Rattus norvegicus: one gene and its partner. The protein of the gene in region 2 interacts with the protein of the main gene of each other region in a pairwise test. Links are inferred from orthologs where the notes say so. Each region holds a gene or a part of one and is shown on either strand. Other genes may lie near its edges.

Region 1 (10,771 bases), on a different chromosome or scaffold from region 2:
TTAGGTTTTTGAGACAAGGTTTCTCTGTGTAGCCCTGGCTGTCCTGGAACTCACTCTAGAGACCAGGCTGGCCTTAAGCTTACATCCCAGGCAGAATATTCATGAGTTTGAGGCCACCATTTAATAAAACTCTACCTCCTCCTCCCTCCCCCCCCCCCCAAAAAAAAAAGGAGAGAGAGACAGAAACAGCTTACAAAGTGAAGGCTAAGATCAGCATTTGTGCTGGAGTTGATGTTATAACTCTACCTAACCCTTATGTTTATCACCAGGTACCACGGTGACTACCACCTCAGCAGCTGTAGTATCCCAGAGTCCTCAACTCTATAATCAGACCTCCAATCCACCTGGCTCTCCGGTAATCTTTAGCTCTTAAATACAGAATTAATAGCTTTGTTGCTGTGTTGCTGTTACCCTTTCCTGGTATATGAGCCAGGACTGACTAATTACATTCATTTTACCTAATTTCTTTATTAGGATTTTTAAAACTATTACATGTATGTGCATGTGTTTTAAATATAAAGTACCAAGCAGGTCATATTTATACGTTGTAAATGCTTCCGCTTGACCTATAGAAAGTTGTCAGCATGTCTCTTGCTGCAGAGTATCTGTCAGGGGAGTCCTTCCTCCTACATGACTGCAGTGACTTAGTTCTCTTAAGAGGCTTTACAGTTGAAATTACATTGAAGCTAATGTTCTTTCCAGACTGAGGAAGCACAGCCTAGCACTAGCACAAGTACACAGGCCCCAGCTGCTTCCCCTACTGGTGTAGTTCCTGGTACCAAGTATGGTAAGCCAACCTCCTGGGACTCTTGACAGTTGGAAGGTCATAATTCTTGCCTTTGTTGTTAAGTCCCTCTCCCTTTGAAACGGGTGTCAGAGGGACAACTGGGAATGTGAAGAAGAGTATTGAGGCCTGCTGTAGCTCACTGGCTTAAAGAGTAACATCAAGTTTGTTACCTAGAATGACTGGCTGGGTTTTGTTTCTGCAGCGGTACCTGACACGTCTACTTATCAATATGATGAATCTTCAGGATATTATTATGATCCTACAACAGGGCTCTACTATGACCCTAACTCACAGGTAAGTGCTATTTTAGGGAAAAAACTGGTTTCATTTAATACTTTTACAGGGCATGAGATGAAGTATTCCCTAAAGAGATTGTGTGACCCAGATAAATTATAAGATTTTTCTTTCATTAATTTCATTCATGGCTACCAATGAATAATTTTCATTTCAGGATTTAGGGTTAAAAAATGTTTACATACCCAATGAGATGCCTCAGTGGGCAAAAGTGTTCGCCATGCAAGCCTAACAACCTGAATTTGATCCCTAGAACCAAGAGTGGCAGACGAAAGCCAACTCCCCCAGTTGCCCTTTGACCGGCATATACATCATGCCTCACTCACGTTTTATGTGTGCACAGTTCACACAGTATTGATGAAATGATGCACAGTTCACACAGTACTGATGAAATGATTTGAGGTGAGCAAGGGAATAGCTCAGTGGTTTACATTACCTGCTACCCTTGCACAAACCTTTTCAAATCCCAGCACCAACATGGCAGCTGACACTGCCCATCCTTCTAGTTCTAGGGTATTTGATGCCCTCTTGTGGCATCCATGGGCACCACACACAAACATGGAGCATGTGTATAATTCAGGCAAAACACTCGTACATATATAATAGGGGTTTCTGGGTTTTTTCCAATGTTTTGAGGTATATTGTATATGCATAAAAGTGTGTGAGTTGTGAATGTGTTTGAGTTCTTGTATTTTTTTTCATGTGTTTGTCTATGTTTATATCTGTTCACTCTGTGTGTACAGTGTCCGTTGAGGCTATGGACTGGAGTTATAATAGATGGTTGTTAACCACCGTATGGGTGCTGGGAATTGCATCTTTTTTTTTTTTTTTTTCTTTTCTTTTTTTTTTTTTTTTTTCAGGGCTGGGGACCAAACCCAGGACCTTGCGCTTCCTAGGTAAGCGCTCTGCCACTGAGCCAAATCCCCAACCCCGGGAATTGCATCTTAATGTTTACATAGATGCATGTAATACACACACACACACACACACACACACACACACACACACACACAATTAAGAACATTCCCAACATGTTTGCACAGTCCTCATGCCCGGCTGTCCTAGAACTCACTGTAGACCAGGACAGCTTTCCTGGCTCTACCTTTTTTTTTTTTTTTTTTTTAAAGATTAAATTATTTTAGGTATGTGATTACACTGTCCCTGTCTTCAGACACACCAGAAGAGGGCATCAGATCCCATTACAGATGATTGTGAGCCACCAAGTGGTTGCTGGGAATTGAACTCAGGACCTCTGGAAGAGCAATCTGTGCTCTTAACTGTGCCCACAAATAGACATTTTTGTCTTTGAATTTACCTGTTATAAATGTACTCAGAACTGTGCTCTTCTGTGTTTAGCTTCTTTCCTTAGCATGCTTGTGTATTCTTGAGAATGGGGTGTAGCTTGTCAGGGAATATTTTATTTTTGTTAGTGTCTATAACTTAGGGATGGGAAGCAATTTTAACACTCCATAAATAAGAATCTATTTATAACTAGGAACTGTGTCTATAGCATAGCAAACAAGTACATTTAGCAGGAAGTTGGTGTAGAGTACCTGTGGTTTCTGAGTGAGAAGTGTGAAGAAACAATATGCTGCCTGCCTGTGTGCCTAGCTTCTTCCTTATTAGTTCACTTCCGTCATTTGTTCCATCTGACATCTCCATGGCAGTTCTCCCTCATTCAGCCATATATGTGACAATCCCACAGTTCCTTTCTCTGTAAGAGACATCATAGAAGACCCAGCTAGTAGAATGGGAAAAGGCTCTTGCTCCCAAACCTGATAACCCAGAAACTAGATGTTAGAAGAAACCAGCTCCAAGTTGTCTGTGACCTCTGAGCTCAGTATAAGCAATCAAACAGACATGACTAACCATGATTTTATAAGGAAGAAAAGGGGTATGTGTGATAGCACATATCCTAGACAGAAGTTGGTGGGTCTCATGGTTCTAGGACACCCAGGACCTGTCTCAGAAACAACTACATATATTAGGTGTGGTACACGCCTGTCATCCCAGGTTTCTGAGGTCAAAGCAGGAGGATGAGGAGTTCAAGGTAGCCTCTTCTACACATTAAATATGAGCACAGCTACATGAGATCCTGTTTTAACTTTTAAATTTATATTTTATTATGGGTATTTTGCTTGCATGTGTACCATTTGAGTGCCCAGTTGTCAGTGCCTAAAAAAACTAGAAAAGAGATTGGATCTCCTGGAACTGGAGTTAAAGATGGTTGTAAGCTACCATGTTGTTGCTGTGAATCAAAACCCAGATCCCCTGGAAAATTAGCTCCTGTTTCTAACCACTGAACTACCTCTCCAGCCTCAAGATCCTGTTGTTTGTTTTGTTTTTAAATAAGACAAACCAAAAAAAAACCCTCTATTCTTGAGAAGAAGTAATCTACTTTTTCTAGAAGTTTCATGCTTTACTAGCTAGTGCATCCTCATGCATACCAAGGTGTTCTATATCACTTTATCACTAGTCCTAGGTATATTTTGTTTTTGTTTTGGGGATTGGTTTGTTTTGGTTTTGTTTTCGCTAGTTGTGTTGAAATGCATCTGGCTTAAGACTCCCTTTGTGGGGTTGGGGATTTGGCTCAGTGGCAGAGCGCTTGCCTAGGAAGCGCAAGGCCCTGGGTTCGGTCCCCAGCTCCAAAAAAAAGAACCAAAAAAAAAAAAAAAGACTCCCTTTGTAACTGAGAATGAAATCCTGATCCTTCTGCTTCCACCTCCCAAATGCTAGGTTTACAGACGAGTGTCCAGACCAGACTTACTTGGATTTCTGTTTGGTTTTTCAGATAAGTTCTCAACTCTATAGCCTAAACTGACTTTACAATTGTAGTCATCCTGCCCAAGGCTCCGGAGTGCTAGGGTTTACAGAGGTGCTTTACTATTGACCTAATATTTAAGTTAACATAACAGGACTTGAGGTATAGCCAGTGGTAGAGCAGCTGCTTATATGGCATATTATAGCCTTCGGACCAATCTCCTCCACACAAAACCTTCATCAACAAATCTGCAGTCACTGCATATTCTTTTTTTTCCTCTTACAGTACTACTATAATTCCTTAACACAGCAGTACTTGTACTGGGATGGAGAGAAGGAGACCTACGTGCCAGCTGCAGAGTCTAGCTCTAACCAACAAGCTGGCCTACCTTCCACAAAAGAGGGAAAGGAGAAGAAAGAAAAGCCCAAGAGCAAAACTGCTCAACAGGTATGACCTGTCCAAGGACACCATGGTTCCTCAGAGACTTAAATCCACTTAATTCTTCATTTTTGGCTTGTAACACTTAATTAAGTCAGCTTTATTTGGATTCTTAAAAACTGGGCTACTGGTCCTGTTGGTCCAAGCCTATAATGAAGCAACCTAAGATGCTACAGCAGAAACACACTTTCCCTTATTCCCTTCCTTCCTTCTTTCCTTCCTTCCTTCCTTCCTTCCTTCCTTCCTTCCTTCCTTCCTTCCTTTCTACCTTTTCTCTCATCAGCACCTTAATAAAACCCTGTTTCAAAGTAAATATGCCACTGGTAATGTAGAGTACTTGCCTAGCATGTTCAGTTGCCTGACATTTAATCCATAAAAATAAAAAACTGGGTTGGACAAGAAATGTAGCCCAAGGTAGAGTTCTTGTCTAGTATTTCAAGTGCTAGGCCTGATCTCCTGAAAGAAAACAAGAAAACTCTGCAAGGCCATAGTGAGTTAGAACTATACGAATCCCTGTCTAAAAAATGATGAGACAGGAGGCCAGGAAGACAGTTCTGTCAGTAAAGAGCTCTGTGCACAAGCATGAGCACTGTCCTCACCCCACATTTAGAAATCCAGGCTCAGGGAGACAGTTAAGCTGCACACAGAAGCCTGAGCTGGAATCCTGGCACTTATGTTTGGGATCTTCCATCTGTAACTCTGGCTCCAGGGAATATGACAGGCTTTCCTGGCCTCACAGATCCATACACATATGTATAATTTAACATATTATATAAATCTTTATGTATTTGTCTGCTTGTGTGTGGAGTAGAGGTCAGAAACAAAGGAGGTTGGTTCTCTCCTCTTGTACCATGGGTTCCAGGAACCAAACTCAGATTACTACTGAGTTATCTTGTGAGTTTCACAATGTAAGATTCTTTTTTTTTCCGGAGCTGGGGACCGAACCCAGGGCCTTGCGTTTGCTAGGCAAGCGCTCTACCACTGAGCCAAATCCCCAACCCCACAATGTAAGATTCTTGTTGGCTTATTTATTGTTAGATCACAGAGAGGTAAGTGCTTTTTGATGGTGTTTGTTGTTTGATAATAGATTGCCAAAGACATGGAACGCTGGGCTAAGAGTTTAAATAAGCAGAAAGAAAATTTTAAAAACAGCTTTCAACCTGTCAATTCATTGAGAGAAGAAGAAAGGAGAGAATCTGCTGCAGCAGATGCTGGCTTTGCTCTTTTTGAGAAGAAGGTATGGTAACGGGAGGAGCCATACTTCGTAATGGCTGTTTCTGTAACCGTTGTGGCTTATGGCATGTTCTGTTTTCCAGGGAGCCTTAGCTGAAAGGCAGCAACTCATCCCTGAATTGGTGCGAAATGGAGATGAGGAAAATCCCCTCAAAGTAAGGAAGTGCCACCTGTGGTCTAACCAGCTGTGTGGTTTATGTCTCACTTTGAGTTTCTGCTACATCTTGGCTAATGCAATTCCCTCTTAAAATGGGATGCTTTTCTCTGTCAGTGGGTATTTGGAACAGCTTTGGCATATAGAATCCACATTGAGGGCTTTGTTTTCGTGCCTGAGAACAGGTGAGATGGACCGATGAATGAAGCCTGAATCCCTAAGCTAAGTAAATTGGCTTCTGAGGCATTTGTAAATAGAATTTTTAATGGTCTGGAAAGGAAATTAGGACAAAGTGAAAACTTACTTTCTTGATAGATACTGGGCTAGCTGGGCCGTTGCTCTGATCTGTTGTTGTGTTTGGAGTTTTTATGCATGCTCAGTGGTTTGAAAACAGTCATCTAAGAAACCATTTCTTGGGCTTCATGGGATTGTTTCCAGAAGGCTGTTCCAGGCAGTTGATGAAGTGTTGTTTACTGAAAGACAACACAGAGCAATAGAGATTCTCTCACCTTTTGGCTGTTTTATCTGTGGAATTTCCAGTGACCCATTGTCATTTTGTCTCCAGAGAGGTCTGGTTGCAGCTTACAGTGGTGACAGTGACAATGAGGAAGAGCTGGTAGAGAGACTTGAGAGTGAGGAAGAGAAACTAGCTGACTGGAAGAAGATGGCCTGCCTGCTGTGCCGACGGCAGTTCCCAAACAGAGATGCCCTGGTCAGGCACCAGCAGCTCTCTGATTTACACAAGGTGGCCTAACTTGTCTTGCTATTGGGGAAGGGAGGGAATTTAGTGGTGGGAGTGATGGCCCTGGTGAGGTTCAGTGAATACCCATCTGTTGCATAGGTGCCTGGTGTCATAGGAGGTAAGAGACTCACTTTACCTTCACACACTCCTGGATTTGGTTTGGATGCTAATCATGTAGTGAGATTTGGCCAGAATATAATACAAAGTACTAATGTTAGGACATTTCATATTAAAGTGGTCTGAATTCTAAATGTGTCTGTAAACTCTCTTGTAACAGCAAAATATGGACATCTACCGAAGATCCAGGCTGAGCGAGCAGGAGTTGGAAGCCCTGGAGCTGAGAGAGAGAGAGGTGAGTACTTGGACACTGTGTTTGGATGAGAATCCTAGCATACCTGCCTTCAGTACTTTGTGTTTTGTTTGTTTAGATGGAGTCTTGCTACGTTCACAGGTTGGCCCTGACCTCTTAGGCTCACGCTTTCCAAGTAGTTACCACTGTAGGCCTATATGACCACACCATTTTGCTTTAATTCCAAGTTCCTAAGCAAAATGGAAGGATATATCAAAAACACTTTGTCATCCAGCCATTGTACCTCATGTAACTGGACTAGCGTGTGTTTTGTGAGCCCAGCAGTGGATTTAATTAAGGAAAACATGTGTTTCCTTGTTTGTCCTGCTAACATAAGCGTTCCTGAATGGTGAGGAAGGCTTCAAATCAGGCACTGAAGACAGGAAAGCATGTGATGGTTTCCCAGTCATGTAGAAGGGAGGAGTGGGCTGTACATGGTAAATGGGGCGGAGAACAAAGATTTATTAGTCTGTAATGCCTGTGGGATTACTGGTTGATGAGATAGGGCCAGATAGAATTGTAAATGCACCTAGAGACCTATACATTAAAAATCATTTAGAAGTTTCCCGCCCCGGGATCAATCTGAGGTGTCTGATCCCCACTGAGTATAGTGCCAGCTCTCCGGGTTTTTTGTTTTTGTTTTTGTTTTTATTTTTTTTAAGATTTATTCATTTATTATATATAAGTACACTGTAGCTGTCTTCAGATACACCAGAAGAGGGCATCAGATCTCTTTACAGATGGTTGTGAGCCACCATGTGGTTGCTGGGAATTGAACTCAGGACCTCTGGAAGAGCAGCCAGTGCTCTTAACCGCTGAGCCATCTCTCCAGCCCTCTCCAGGGTTTTCCGGGTGGGTTTCAGGAAGCCTCTGTTTCTGGAAGTAGACCTGTCCAAATGCTACCTGGAAGTGGGAAGTTCTGGCTGCCTCATCTTTGGGACAGTGACAAGCAATGAGACCAAAAATGGTAAAGGAGACAAAGGAATTTTGTATTGAAGTACACACTAATAGGCTCCAGGTTAAAGGCTACTACAGGTTAACATCTGAATATACAATGCTATTGAAAGTTGAAATGAGGGTCCTCCTCGCTTATCCTTTTGTTATTCTCTATATAGATGAAATACCGAGATCGAGCAGCAGAAAGACGAGAGAAATATGGAATTCCAGAGCCCCCAGAGCCCAAGCGCAAGAAACAGTTCGATGCTGGCACTGTGTATGTGATGTGCACCATTTTCCAGTTCACTAGCTAGGGCTCTGGCTGTTTAAGTAACTGTGTGTTTGCCACTGGCAGGAATTACGAGCAGCCCACCAAAGATGGCATTGACCACAGTAACATTGGCAACAAGATGCTGCAGGCTATGGGCTGGCGGGAAGGCTCAGGCTTAGGAAGAAAGTGTCAAGGCATCACGGCTCCCATTGAGGTAAGTATGGGCTCTGATATTCATAGGTGCTGGGTGTTAAGTAGGCAGAGGCACACTTCCCCTGAAACCCCTTCTTCATCTCCCTCATTGTGTCCTTTTGTTTTTAAGAGGGAGTTTTGTTTTGTTTTGTTTTGAGATCAAGTGCCCCGTGTAGCCATGATTTTCCTGGAACTCACTATGTAGACCAGACTGGAATCGGACTCAGAGGTGTATATGGCCCTGCCTAGAGAGTGCTAAAACTAAAGACATGTGCCATAGGCCTAGTGCCCTTGCTTGAAAATGAACATTTAGAAAGATAGTTTGTCATTTGAGAGTGCTTTCTGGGGCTGGGGATTTAGCTCAGTGGTAGAGCGCTTACCTAGGAAGCACAAGGCCCTGGGTTCGGTCCCCAGCTCCGGAAAAAAAAAAAAAGAGAGTGCTTTCTGCTCTTGCGGCCTCCACAGGCACTGCATACATGTGGTGCACAGACACACATGCAGGCAAAATAATCATAGACATAGAAATGAGTGAGTAATTGAAATATTCCAGGACCTGGGCTGGAGAGATGGCTCAGTGGTTAAGAGCACCGACTGCTCTTCCCAAGGTCCTGAGTTCAATTCCCAGCAACCACATGGTGGCTCACAACCATCTGTAAAGAGATCCGGTGCCCTCTTCTGGTGTGTCTGAAGACAGCTACAGTGTACTTATATATAATAAATGAATAAATGTTTAAAAAAAAAATATTCCAGGACCAACAAGATGGCTCAACAGGGAAGCCTAGCAACTTAAGTTAGGTCCCCAGAACCTACATAAAACTAGAAGAGAACCATCTTTACAAAGCTGTCCTTTGACATTTGTGCACCATGCCATACATCCCCACTCCTTCACCCCCCCCCCCCGGACAATTTTTTTTTTTTAATTTTTAAAGAAAATGTAAGGCAGATACAGTGGTACAGGCCTGTTTTTGGTAAACTGAGACAAGAGGCCTAACTGGCCAACTCAGTGAGACCCTGTCTTGAACTTCCCACCCCAACTTACCCATCTAAAATTTAAATTTAGAAGAAGAAATTACTCAATTTGTCAGAGCCTAAATTGAGGCAGTCCTGGGCTCAGAGGCTCAGAGCCATTGGCCAAGGCAGGAACTGTAGCAGAGACTGCCCTGGGGCACAACCATTGTCAGCCTTTCTTGTTTTTACTTTATGCAAGCATGTTTCCCCGGTGCATGGGAGTTTTATTGGCATTATCCATCGTGTTTGAACTTGTGCCTATAATTACCTTACCCAGGCCTCAGCTTTAGAGACCTTACCAGCCACCAATGTTCACTGAGTAGGCATTCAAGAGTATGAGTGGGTTCATTTCCTTAAGCACTTCTATTGCCCCAGTCCTTAAAATTGTCTCCAGGTCCAGTGTTAGCCCTCGCCTTCTTTTTATGTGTACTTTTGTTCAATGGTATGGGTGGGATAGAAGTGGGTGCGTCCATCTGTGCCTTGCTTATCAGCCACTAACAGTCTCTTTGTTTCCCCAGGCTCAAGTCCGGCTAAAAGGAGCTGGCTTAGGAGCCAAAGGCAGTGCATATGGGTTGTCAGGTGCCGATTCCTACAAAGATGCTGTTCGGAAAGCCATGTTTGCCCGGTTCACTGAGATGGAGTGAGACTGGCGAAGCCATGCTGAGCACAGGGAGCAAGCCATCTCCTCAGTTGCTCTTACTGCCTGTCTCTAGGGCATGCCTTGTGCTGTTAATAGTTTTAGGATGAACCACTTCATTCTGAGGGGTTCTCCTACCTTAAATGAGCTCCCTTATGTGGGTTACCTGGTAAACAACCTTTCTTCCCACCTAAGGATTTGTGAACAGAGGGGACAATGGGCTTTTTATACAAGGTGTATATAGTGTAAATATAATGTGTTTTACATGTTGTCGCCTGTGTTGTGTCCCTGCTTCTTGGGGGCTTGAGAAGCTCGGAGTGGTTGTCAACACCAAAGCCACCACTGTCATTTATTGTTGTTATGTCCTTTCCTGGCAATAGCCTTGTGTATATTTGTATATTATACATTTGTACAGAATTTTGGAAGATTTTCAGTCTAGCTGCCATGTCTGGCTCCTTTACAAAAGAAATACCTTCAAAAATGGGTTTCCTGTGTCTTTATTGAGAGAATGGGTGGTAAAGGCTGTTGAGACAGTTGGATCTGTGATGGTTTTTCTTTGCAATTGGTTTTTTTGAGATGAGTTATACAACCTAGGCTAGCCCAGGCTGGTTTGGTACTTGTAATCTTTTGGTTCTCTCTACTTCCAGTTCCTAAGCATGGATAGGACTGCTTTTATCTCAGTATTTAGGTTCTAGACCTGCCAGGGCAGAGATTACATGACTAGATTACTGCTCATCCAAATAGAACCTCCCTTTGGTTTTGTTCTTTAATTTTTAAAAAACAACTTTAGATCTATGTGTATTCAAGTAATGTCTGTGCATATGTGCATGCTGGCACCCACAGAAGCCACAAGAGGGTGTTGAAACTGAAGTTATGAACTGCCTGTGGGTGTTGGGAGTCAAGTGTGGGTCCTCTGAGGAGAACAAGTGCTCTAAACCACTGAGCCTTCTCCAGTCCCTGTTTTTTCTG
Region 2 (11,708 bases):
GTGTATCAAAAATATTTCTTGGTAATTTTCGCAGGATCAAGTTCAATCTAACAATACAATAGTAAAGCATATTACCAATTACAGTGAGATATACTAGATGTGGTGCTCACCTAAAAATGAAATATACCTCAATGTTCTAATAAAACAAACAAAGTAAGAACCAGGAAATATCAAGCTCCTTTGTGACACACACACACACACACACACACACACACACACACACTCACTCTCTCTCTCTCTCTCTCTCTCTCTCTCTCTCTCTCTCTCTCTCTCTCTCTCTCTCTCTCTCTCTCGGCTGAAATGCTTAGCCCAGACACCCAAACACGCCGAACAGTTTTGTTATGCCAAGTTATTTAGCCTGTTTCAAGTTTAAGATGCCTAATCAAGAAAAAGCCTAAAAATTTAACAACTATAAACAAACAATTTTTAAATACTTGCCCAATTCCAACTCTAAATTTTGAAGGCAATACTCTTTTACTCCCAGAACAACATGACAAAAAGCTGAGATTATAATTTCTATGCATTTTCCCACCAAATACTGGCACTGTGCAAACAAAGTAGGCCTTCTACAAGTAATTTTTTGCAAGTGCATAAATATTAGAAATAAGTAGGTGATCAAGTTAGCTTACATTGATAAGTCAGTAGAATTCTATTTGAAGGGGGCAAAAAGACCTGAGTTCAGTCTAATGATTAGAAAAGCCAACTTCTGACCTTCGTAAGTGGTACAGCACACTGCCTTGCATATATACAGATTAAAAAAAAAAAAAGAATCCCACTTGAAAAGTAATATTTCAGTCAACTGCTTAGTCAACTTACCAATTATTCTGTACTCCCCTGCCTAAGAGCACAAAGATCAAACTAAACCATTTAGCTTACACACTAGAGTTCAATAAGAATGGAGCCTACTACTATAAATTACTTTTAAATCGTACATATGAGGCTTAAAGTAGTAGCAGACCAGTTTTTACTTCTTATCTCAAGCCCTAAGGGCACTTGCCTACATTCACTCCACAATGACAAACATCAAATTCTAATTCATGCTAATATCCTCAACTGTAATTCAATTATTGTGTTATACAGAACTTTACATTGCTTTATTAAGCTCCTTTTAAATTAGTTTAGCTGGTAGGCACCAGTTAGTTACTTTCCTATTATTGTAAGAAGACACCAAGACCAAGACAACTTATAAATTTTTTGGAAGTTTGCTTTCAGTTTCAGAAGGCAAGGAGGATTACAGCATGCGGTACTGAAGCAGTAGCTCAAAGCTAACATTATCACCTCAAAGCTGAGGATTCAAGAGACAATGATCCACCCTTTCCTAGTGACATACCTCCTCAAACACTCCCAGGAGGAGTCCTTCCCAAATGGTCCAACTATAGGAACCAAGCACTCAAATATTTGATCCCATGGAAGCCATTTTCATTCACACTAAATCTGACTAGTAAGATTCTACAATATAGCTGGAAATATACTTCCACTACCACCAGCAGTGTGTTAGCCATGTTGACTACATAGTTAAGCTGAGTGTCAGTATATCATGACTGTACATAGATCAACACACTTAGAATCCTTGAGACAGTTATTAGCTCCTTCCTCTGGAAACTTGCAACTAATTAGTAATAGGGCTGGGACCCAACTCAAGACCTTAGGATAGAGGGATCATCTTGGTTCTCAAATTCCTCATCACTGTGCCCTGTTGGCTAATGCTACAGACTCTAAATTCTTATACAGTTAGCACTTCAGTATTAAATTTGCCAGGCAATATATCATAATTCTCAGGGTGTCATCCTTAAATGTTCCCTACCACCAAGATCGTTACTGAGTAGTGTTTGTATTTTGCTAGTAGGATCTTTTGGCTTCTTCCACCTTCTTGCCTATAAAGAACGCCTATCTTTAATATTAAAACAATCCTATAAATTTTTTTATCTAGATTGTATAAATATACTTCTTATTAAAAGTGTATTTCCTTTAAGTTTTAAATGGAGTTTATACAATGAAGACTGCCATTCATTTTTCCCTATGTTTCAACCATGTCCTTCCTCTTGTCTTTACCTTTTCTTGGCTTCCTAGCAGCTTAACCTCAAATTATACCAGACAAAATTCTGGGTAGAGTATGAGAACAGTAGTTAACAGAACTCATATCCCTTCAAAATTATACTTGTTTTATATACTAACTTCAGAGTCTCCTTTAAAATCCCAAAACTAAAGCTAATCAGATAACCAAAACAGATACCGAATGAAAAGGAAATTACCTAAATCTCTAAATCTCCATGTTCTGCTTCATCAACAGAACCTTAAAGAATTTTAGAAGGTCCTTATTATATCTTCCCCTTCTCTTAATTTTGCTAAACATTCATCAAGATTCTTATAGTCACAAGTTTCACATTCCTCTGTTGCCGATTTGACTTCCTCAGAGTAAGTGGAGAAGGGAAGAACCCACCAAGTTCCACATACAAGGCAAGCATAGGAGACAGACTCAAATTCTATCCCAAATTTGTAGCTCCACTAAGCAAGACATTAAAAATCCCACCTTTGATTATTGTCCACAATAATCTAGTTCTTTAATAACTTAAAGTAATCTGGCATAAAATGCTTATATGTTTGTTCAATGCTTAAAAGTTTTATTACTCACAAAGTAACTGTGGTACTTCCTCAAGCAAAAAACTTTTAAGTGCATGACATGGTCAGGAAGCTCAGGCAGAACTCATTTCTAGGCAATCCTAATCTATAGATATAAAGCAAAAACCAGGACAGGTAGGGCTATAGAAACCCTATCACATGTGCACATACACAACAGAGAGAGCCATACATTGTTCTGATAAACACATATATGCCATGGTTAGCCATGCTCAAACCGACACACACATTACATATTTAAAGGATTAAAAGCTAACCTTTCCCTTAAGGGAACAAAAAAATTGGGGGTGGGGGTTATCCCATATGCCTAGAATTCTGGCACCCTGTACCTCAATCTTTCTATTTGCTTCATTCAACTGGATCGTAGACTGAAAATGCCGACTACACAAAACTGAAATATGGCTCACTGGTAGATCACTTGCCTAGCAAGCATGAGGTCCTGGGTTAGACTCCACACTGTCACCAAGAAACCAACTTCTCCATCAAACGTGAATTATTCTTCCATATAAATATGATCTGCTTCAGCTATCTGAAACTTTGTATTTATATTTGCTCTTGATAGACATAAACCAGATTAATTTCTTACTACTATATATTGTCTAATACATAAAACATTGTTCAATGGCTAAAGTACTGAGTATTTCTTGATAAATAGCTGGATTCCCTCAACATCAAACTACTTCTATTGTTCAGCTGTTATCACCTCAACTACCAGTAATATTATCTACAAAGTCAACTCCAAAATATTTTTTCTACAGATTAAACTGTTCCCTTTCCAAAGTCATTTGTTCCCTGAAAATAAACTAAGAAATGTTCTATGATTTGTTACAACTCATACCAAGAAATTCTTCAATCCATAGCAATGGTATTACACATCAACGTCTTGTTCCAAACATCACGATGAATCATGATGCTCTGACATGACTGTCACAATGGCATTTATCCTTAACCCACTAGTTTTCAGACTGGACTGTTTCTTTAGATTCCTTAATGCTATGTCTGATCTCCATGTCGACTAATTTGTACAAGGTCAAATCCTCTGCCAACAGTACAATACCTAATGTAGAATTTAATGCATCTCAAACATTGAAAATATATTATGGATACCATATAGGACCAATTTTAAAGACACAAATGTAGCTTCGAACTGTCTGTCTATATTCTGAGATGTTCAAGAAAAAAAATCTTTAAAATTTAGTCTCCTCTACTATCCTTTTGTATTAAAAGTTTGACTATTTGATGAATATGTAAACACTTTAATTTCTAGATAGAAAAATAGTTAATGCAGGGTAAGGACCTGTCTATACATGCATTCTTCCTACTCAATACACAACTGACCTTCAGTTTAAAAGCTTTGCCAGTTTTTACTCTCTGGGTTTTCAGTGAGTTAATGCAAATATATCCAGGTACTTTTACAACACTTCTTAGTGAAGTCACCCTATCAATTAAAACTACCACTAACACTCTTACTACTAAGAGTTGCATTACAATTTTTCTTTCCTTGAAGGAAATAAAACACATACCCATTTCCAAGTCCATTAACAATGCCAGGTTAGTTTTAAAGGATGGTAAACAGATTGTAGAATACCAACAAGCTTAGTTTATCTAGAATAAGTTTTAAAGCTTTAATTACAAGATCCATCTTTTGAAAGTCCATCCTTCCTCTACTTCTACCAGATACACTATTAATATGGTTTGTAATTTTCTCAAAAATCCACACTGCTTTATTCCCTTTACTGTAGCTTACCGAGAAAATATGGTACATAATCAAATATTGAAAAGATACTCCTTGTAGAGATGAGGAAAAATCTATTCTTTATTTTCAAGTTCTTGATATCTACATCTTATAGAGTAATAAAAAAGCTGATTTTATGCAATATAGTCATTATACTGTAATTTCAAATCACAGATGTTATCACCTTAAGTTTTATATTCAATGAAAATGAAGATACAAGCCAAAAATACATTCCTTAAAAGTAAAAAACATAAGCTGATTAGTATTTTAAAGTTGAACTTCTATTAAAAAATTATGAAGTTCAAATGAAACCCAAGAACTTAAAAAAAGTGAAATATAAGCTAAAAAGTTAACAGGCTATCTTAATTAAAAAACTGCCTTTTCAGTTATAAATTTTAAGAGACACACTAAATATTCAAAAACAAAAATATGTACTACTTAAGATCAATGCTCAGATATGGATGAACCAAGAGCCTAAGGATGGTGGATACAGAACCTCATACTATGCTACTGTACCATTTTTCCTAATCCAATCAATCTCATTCATCTTACCACAGGGCATTTCCACACCACAGGTTCACATCACTGACCATGTATTCCAGGTTTGTTTTTTATAACACACTTGAAAACTGCACTGTGACCAAGTTATTTCTAAAACTGACTAATGTCCTATAAATGTGAATACATAAAAGCAAGAGGAGAAAGTAAGATTTGTTGGACAGCAATTATCACTAGTTAAGCAGAATGTAACTGTAAGACCCAGAAAACAACTATATAAATTAAGTTACAAGGCTCAAAATGGTCACAGAAGCAGGATCTTGAGATGGTATAAATACTTTATTACAGAACAAGATTCTTCCATGAGCTCACACATAGCAAAAACTACACAATTTTCCTTACCCATAAATAAATCACATCCCTCCCACATATCATCTGTTCTAAACATAACTTTTACTAACATTTTTACCCTTTATTACATTTAAATGAACAATCTAAAACACCACACTTTATGCTATTATTAACATTTTACACAGGATATAGCACCACATAACTAAACTGAAACAGAATTTCTTTCTTTTTTTTTTTTTTCCTTTTTCTTTTTTTCGGAGCTGGGGACCGAAGCCAGGGCCTTGCGTTTGCTAGGCAAGCGCTCTACCACTGAGCTAAATCCCCAACCCATGAAACAGAATTTCTACTGAAAAGCTAAATATACTATCATCAAGAAAAAACACTGACAAAAATCACCTGGCATGTCTATTTCATTGTATTTTAAAGCTGGCAATTCCATTAGTAAAAGTCCTTAACTAATGAAAAAAAAACAAACCAAACCTATAATTAGAGTAGTATCCACTTTAAAGATAGAGTACTTACTTAAGAATGGTTTTTGCACTACTGCAGTCTTCAAATCGAATGGAGTATCCAACTTCCTGGCCTAACATCACGTCCATCTCATCAGCAACTCTCTGAGCCACACTCATTGCAGCCACTCTCCTGGGCTGTGTACAGGCAACTCCCCTTTTGGGTCCTGGCAAGGATCGCATATACTCCACACACCACTGTGGTATCTATGAAATGATTTCACATTTAAATTATCTGTACCCTACCCACATACAAACTATATGTATCTAATACTTTATCTTACTGTAATTATTTAAAACAAAATTCAATTATGCAAAGTTGTTATGACTCGGGTTACACTAACGCGAGCACTCTAAGCCAGAAGGGCTCATGGACAACAGGGATGTAACATAATTACACTCCTGGGAAGACAAGATCCACTCAGAGGTGCTCAGTGTGCTCCGCAGTACAGCTGCACCATTAGTATTTCTAAGCAATGGAAAAACATCCAATTTAAATTCTATCCTTGAAAGAATTTTAAGTCTCAGAAGTAAAATACAGCAATGTATACTTTTGAAAATCACATTCTTAATTATAAAAATGTAGGCACAAGTATCATATAAATTGCAATCCATCAAAACGTCATTATAACCCTGTTAACTTTTCTCTCAGGAGCAGTATTATGCACAGTAACAGTACCTTAGATAACATCTTAACTAGTTAAGTTCTCAAAATCACCACCTTCAAGTTCAAAGGGACTGAGAACAGCCAAGGGGAAAAGAGAAAAGAAAATCTGAAGCTCAAGGTGGTCACTATGGTGACCAATTACAATATGCAGACATGAAGGGCTTCTCTCATAGTTTGGTTCTCTAGTCATTTAACGGAAAAGATAGGAAGATGTAAATGTTCACAACCTTAAGAATCCTCAGCTATAAGTACCTCGATCTGTCTCATCAAGGATTCTGAAATCTGAAACATTCTAATACTAAGGTATGTACAGGGCTTGGATCTCAGTGCTTACATGACGACATCTGATGAGAAATGTTGGCTGATACACTGTTATATATAATTTAGTTAATTACTTTTGCAATTTGACTAGCTCATGCATAAAAACAAATAACTCAAAGGGGAGACAATTATACTGTTTCTCCAAAGAAAATAGTGTATGTTTTTCAAGGGCCTAAATGAAGAAAACTACTAACTAACACTATCTTCCTAGTTCTGGAAACCAACAGAACCATAGTGCTTTTCTAGGAAAGCTTTAAGGATCTACCTTCATTTCACCAACCCTGCTCCAAAAGAAAAGGAAAGTAAAATAAAATCAAACAATGTGAAATTAGAAGCACTGACTAGCAGATTAAAGGAAGTTAGTCCTTAATTCTTAAAACTGTTCAGATTTAAAAAAAAATCCATTCTAATGAAATGAATGACTTAACTTCATTTTATTTGGCAGATCTCAAACTTTTAAAAGTTCTTTATACTCTTAAAATAACTAATGAGAAAGTAATAGATTTACATATTAATTCCTAATGAAACCCATCTTGTATAAACTTGCATTTTCACCCCACAAAAAATAATTTTTTCAAACTAAACCTTTCTAGTAGGATGTATTTTACATATTCTCAATTCTGATGTCCAACCTGATAGACAGCACTTAGTTCTCTTTATGTCTGTCCATCTGCACAATGCAAACTACCTTCAATGTGGCTATTAATAAAGCATGAAAAATACATATGGTTTGACTTTCCAAAAATATTAACAAAGATTGTCAATAGCATCTGAAATAGTTTAAAAATTCTACTGGCATTGATAGAGCCACATTCTCATGAATTTTTTTTTAAAAAGACATTAAATTTAAAAGTTAAGGGTTTGTTTGATACAGGGTGTCTCTCTGTAGACAAAGCTGCCCTCAACATGCTGAAATTAAAAGTGTCACTATCCACAGCTAAAAGTTTGAGTTATTAACATAAAGTTGTCCCTCAATTAAATCTTTTAATATTTTTGGTTGCTAGAATATCAAAATGTCTCTATGAAATACTCAGTTTTGATCTGTAGAACATAATTTAAAAAAATCCTAAGCCAGACACAGTGGTCCACATCTAAGGTTCAGCAGGCAAGAGGATAGCAAAACTAGAAGCCTAAATAGACTGAATAGCAAGATCCTTTCTTTAAAATAAAAAAAACGGGGGTGGGGGTGGGGGGACACCCTGAACATAGAGCTCAATGGTAGAGTACCTGCTTTAGCAGCATGTTCAATTAGAAATGTGTACCCTACATTCATAAAAATGAATGAATAAGTCAAAAAAGCCTTTCATCTTTACATATTAAAATGGGCAATTATTAAGTTGATTTCAGTATTTTCCTGTGTTTTGGAAATATTCTACCATACCCAACAACTTTTGTAATCAAAATGAGACTCTTCTCTGATGGCTTCCCAAGTGTCTATTAAATCCACAATTACTACTAAATTCAAGTTCAGGGATATAACCAAACAGCTGACGGGTGCTCCATGAGGAAAGGACTATTTGGCTACATGTAGTACGAGTGCAATAAATCTAGACATTTCAAAAATCTACAAACATACTTGTCCCTGAAGTTACTGAACAAAGCCTAAGGTTGGTATGTCAGCTCAGTGAGTTAAAGGCACTGGCCATTAAGCCTTACAATTTGAGTTCAATCCTCAATACCCATAGGATGAACAGTAACTCTCCTAAGTTATTCTGATTGACACATATGTGCTTTGGCATGGGTGTACCCATACACAAACATTCACACATAAATAGATGCAGTAGTGTAAAAAATTATAAAAATAGGCTGCACCACCTATCAACAAGATCAAGTAATGGCTTGTTCATGTTTAAAACCTGTGAGCACCCGATGAGCCCCCTTTAACAGTGTTTAGTACTACAACCCTGGAAGCAGATGGATGCAGGTCACAACCATACTTTGTACCTTGCAGCATTTCTAATCATTTTCTTCTTGTGAGACAGGATCTCATTATAGAAAACTGACCTCGAATTCGGAAACTTGCCTACCTGATTCCTAAATGCTAGAAAAGATTTGCATTATCATAACTGGCAATTTCAACTTTTTTTACACTGTTCACATAATTCGAAATATTTTAACAAATACTTGGAGTAGAAACAACTACTTCAATTGTTCAGGTTTCTCTACTCAAGCACTCAAAAATAAACTTTGTATTTCTAACTCTGTATTGTCTTAGGGTTAAAATGTGTTGAAAATTATTCCTGCCGTACCTACAAGATGAGACCATACCAGTTATTTTCCTATGTGGACTCAGAAAAACCTGAACACTCTATTTGAATCACACCCTTAAAGTTACTAAAGAGTGCTCATCAAAGGACTCTCCAAGGTACTCTATAAGACAAGACAACTGGAAATGAGTTGACAGACAATGGAAAGGACTACCAAGAACCAATCAGCACATTTAGTTTGAACATGAACGTATTTACCATGGTCTTTAACAACTCACCTGTGTTGTTTTACCAGACCCAGTCTCACCAACCAGTACAAATGACTGATGTCTAACAAGAATATCTGTAAATCTATCCTTGTATTCCCAAACAGGGAGCTGAAGACGTTTCTTTAGAATATCATAATATCGAGGAGTATGGGGCAGGTTGGTAAATGGATTAATACACTGTGGAAGTGATGTGTGTCCTGCATGTCCGGTGTGTGTTGAATGGGCAGAATGTGTAGAATGTGTTGAATGAGCGGAGTGGGTTGAATGAGCGGAATGAGAAGCTTTTAAAGGTGGCAATCCAGCACTGATAAGCATAGCATTGGTGGAAGCTCTCAATTCCTTTTCCTTTTCTTTCTCCCTCTCCCGTTCTCTGTCTCCTCTATCACGTTCTCGGTCTCGATCTTTAGATCGGTCCTCTCTATCCCGATCTCGTTCCCGGTCTTTCCTAGAAATACAAAAATTTAGAAATCAGAGTGATTTTAAACACATATCTCAATTAGTTATTAGAAATTATGACCAGATTCTTCACATACCAGCATAATCATCCTTTACTAGACTAAGTCTCTAGTTTCATCCTTCTAAAACCTTAAGCATAGCAACACTAAGAACTGACCCATAGCCTATTGAAATGGCTCAGCTCCCAAGTCTGACCACCTTAATTCAATACCCAGGACATAGCCTCAACACAAAATGCAATGTAATTAAAAAACACTTGAAGCTGGGTATAATAGCATACATCTTTAAGAACCCAACACTTGGAAAACAGAGGAAAGTGATCTCTGTGAGTTCCTTGTAAATCTATGAACCTGGATCAATCAAAATGAAATGTAATAAAATTAAAAACTTTCATAAAATACAGAGTTGTTTTAAAAACTAAGAAATTCAGAAAAGTCAATTACTTTTCTAAACTTATTTTTAAGCAGTCATTTCTGGTATCTACTACAAATATTCCTAGTGGAGTAATTTTAAGATAATTTATAATAGAAGACAAACAATATGGCTTTGAGTTGCATCTAAAGGTGGTCTGAGTAGTTAGTGATAGAAGGAACCTGTTTACTCATTCATTCAAACTTTACTTCAGACCAATTCCTTAAGTTCCCATAAGGTTTTGGGACCCAGACTAAAATAATGAGGCATTTTGGAGATGAGACAGAAATAAACCCCTAACTAAACCTGTCATTGCTCTTTACTTACAACACATAAAAGTCCATTTCTTGGGACCTAAGTCTCAATACAGCAGAGCAAGGAAGAGCACTCACTCTCCACAGTCTGATGGGGGAGTAACAGTAAAGACCTTAAACAGAACACAGCTAAAATGCTAACTAAACACAGTACTGTGTGAAAATGGTTCAGCCACAGCTGTGGTAAACTTTATCCAATCTTTTTTGTCTTGGTCAAGGTTTCTATTCCTGCCCAAACATCATGACCAAGAAGTAAGTTGGGGAGGAAAGGGTTTATTCAGCTTACACAATTCACATTGCTGTTCATCATCAAAGGAAGTCAGGACTGGAACTCACACAAGGCAAGAAGCAGGAGCTGATGCAGAGGCCATGGAGAGATGTTACTTATTGGCTTGCTTCCCCTGGCTTGCTCAGCTTCCTCTCTTATAAAACCCAAGACCACCAGCCCAGGGATGGCACCACCCACAATGGCCTGGGTCCTCCCGGCTTGATCACTAGTTGAGAAAATGACTTACAGCTGGGTCTAATGGAGGCATTCCTCAACTGAGGCTCCTTTCTCTGTGATAACTCCAGTTTGTGTCAAGTTGACACAAAAAACCAGCCAGTACATTATTCTTAAAATATGAGATTCTATTCCACATAATCTTAAGAGTGAAGAAAAGCCTCACTAGCCTGTGACTTCTCTTCTATTCTAATGTCCAGGCACACACTTGGGAGCCAGAGGTGAGTTTGAGGCCAGCCTGGTATACAGACAGTTCCAGGACATCCAGAGCAACACAGAGAAACCTTATCTAAAAAGACCAAAACCAACCACCTCCTCTCCCCCCTCAACCAACAAAACAAAACAAAACATCCCAACCCCCACCCTCACACAAAACTAAATAAAGTCTCACAAGCCAACCAAAACCCAATTCACCTGCAGCTTCATTACTACAGTAGAGAAAAAAATACAATGAAAAAAACACAAAGATTTGCTAATCAGTGAAGTGAAAATTTAAATTAAAAAAGAGGGGCATGACAACCACAAATGTTGCAATACACGCGAAGGCCTAAGACTCACTTTATCTGCAAAATGGGAACTTTCACTACAAAAGTTTTGTTCATAAAAATTCTCTAGTTGAAACAATGCTTTTAATTTTAAAGAAAATAAAAACAATCCCAATGTGGTGGTTAAAACACGTTAGTCCCAGTACTCTGGAGGCAGAAGCAGGCTGATCTCTGTGAGCATGGTCTACAGAGTGAGTTTCTAATAGCCAGGGCTATGTAGAGATGCTGCCTCTTTTTAAAAAGAAATGATGGACGGACGGATGGACAGACAGAAAAGTGCTCTAAA

What was found.
Region 1: the proteins of Dhx15 (region 2) and Rbm5 interact in binary tests that used the Homo sapiens proteins (3 or more experiments, as listed by UniProt). The link is inferred for Rattus norvegicus from reciprocal best matches to the Homo sapiens genes DHX15 and RBM5.

Annotation. Positions count from the first base shown.
Region 1 is NC_086026.1:117,298,378-117,309,148, reverse strand, and holds the end of Rbm5 (RNA-binding protein 5), read left to right. Parts: intron 1-269; coding exon 270-355; intron 356-702; coding exon 703-787; intron 788-989; coding exon 990-1,081; intron 1,082-4,127; coding exon 4,128-4,289; intron 4,290-5,367; coding exon 5,368-5,517; intron 5,518-5,596; coding exon 5,597-5,668; intron 5,669-6,232; coding exon 6,233-6,412; intron 6,413-6,686; coding exon 6,687-6,761; intron 6,762-7,873; coding exon 7,874-7,971; intron 7,972-8,049; coding exon 8,050-8,179; intron 8,180-9,683; coding exon 9,684-9,809; 3' UTR 9,810-10,068; downstream 10,069-10,771. UniProt on the Homo sapiens protein: Component of the spliceosome A complex. Binds to ssRNA containing the consensus sequence 5'-AGGUAA-3'. Regulates alternative splicing of a number of mRNAs.
Region 2 is NC_086032.1:63,002,825-63,014,532, reverse strand, and holds part of Dhx15 (ATP-dependent RNA helicase DHX15), read right to left. Parts: intron 9,640-11,708; coding exon 9,204-9,639; intron 5,938-9,203; coding exon 5,744-5,937; intron 1-5,743.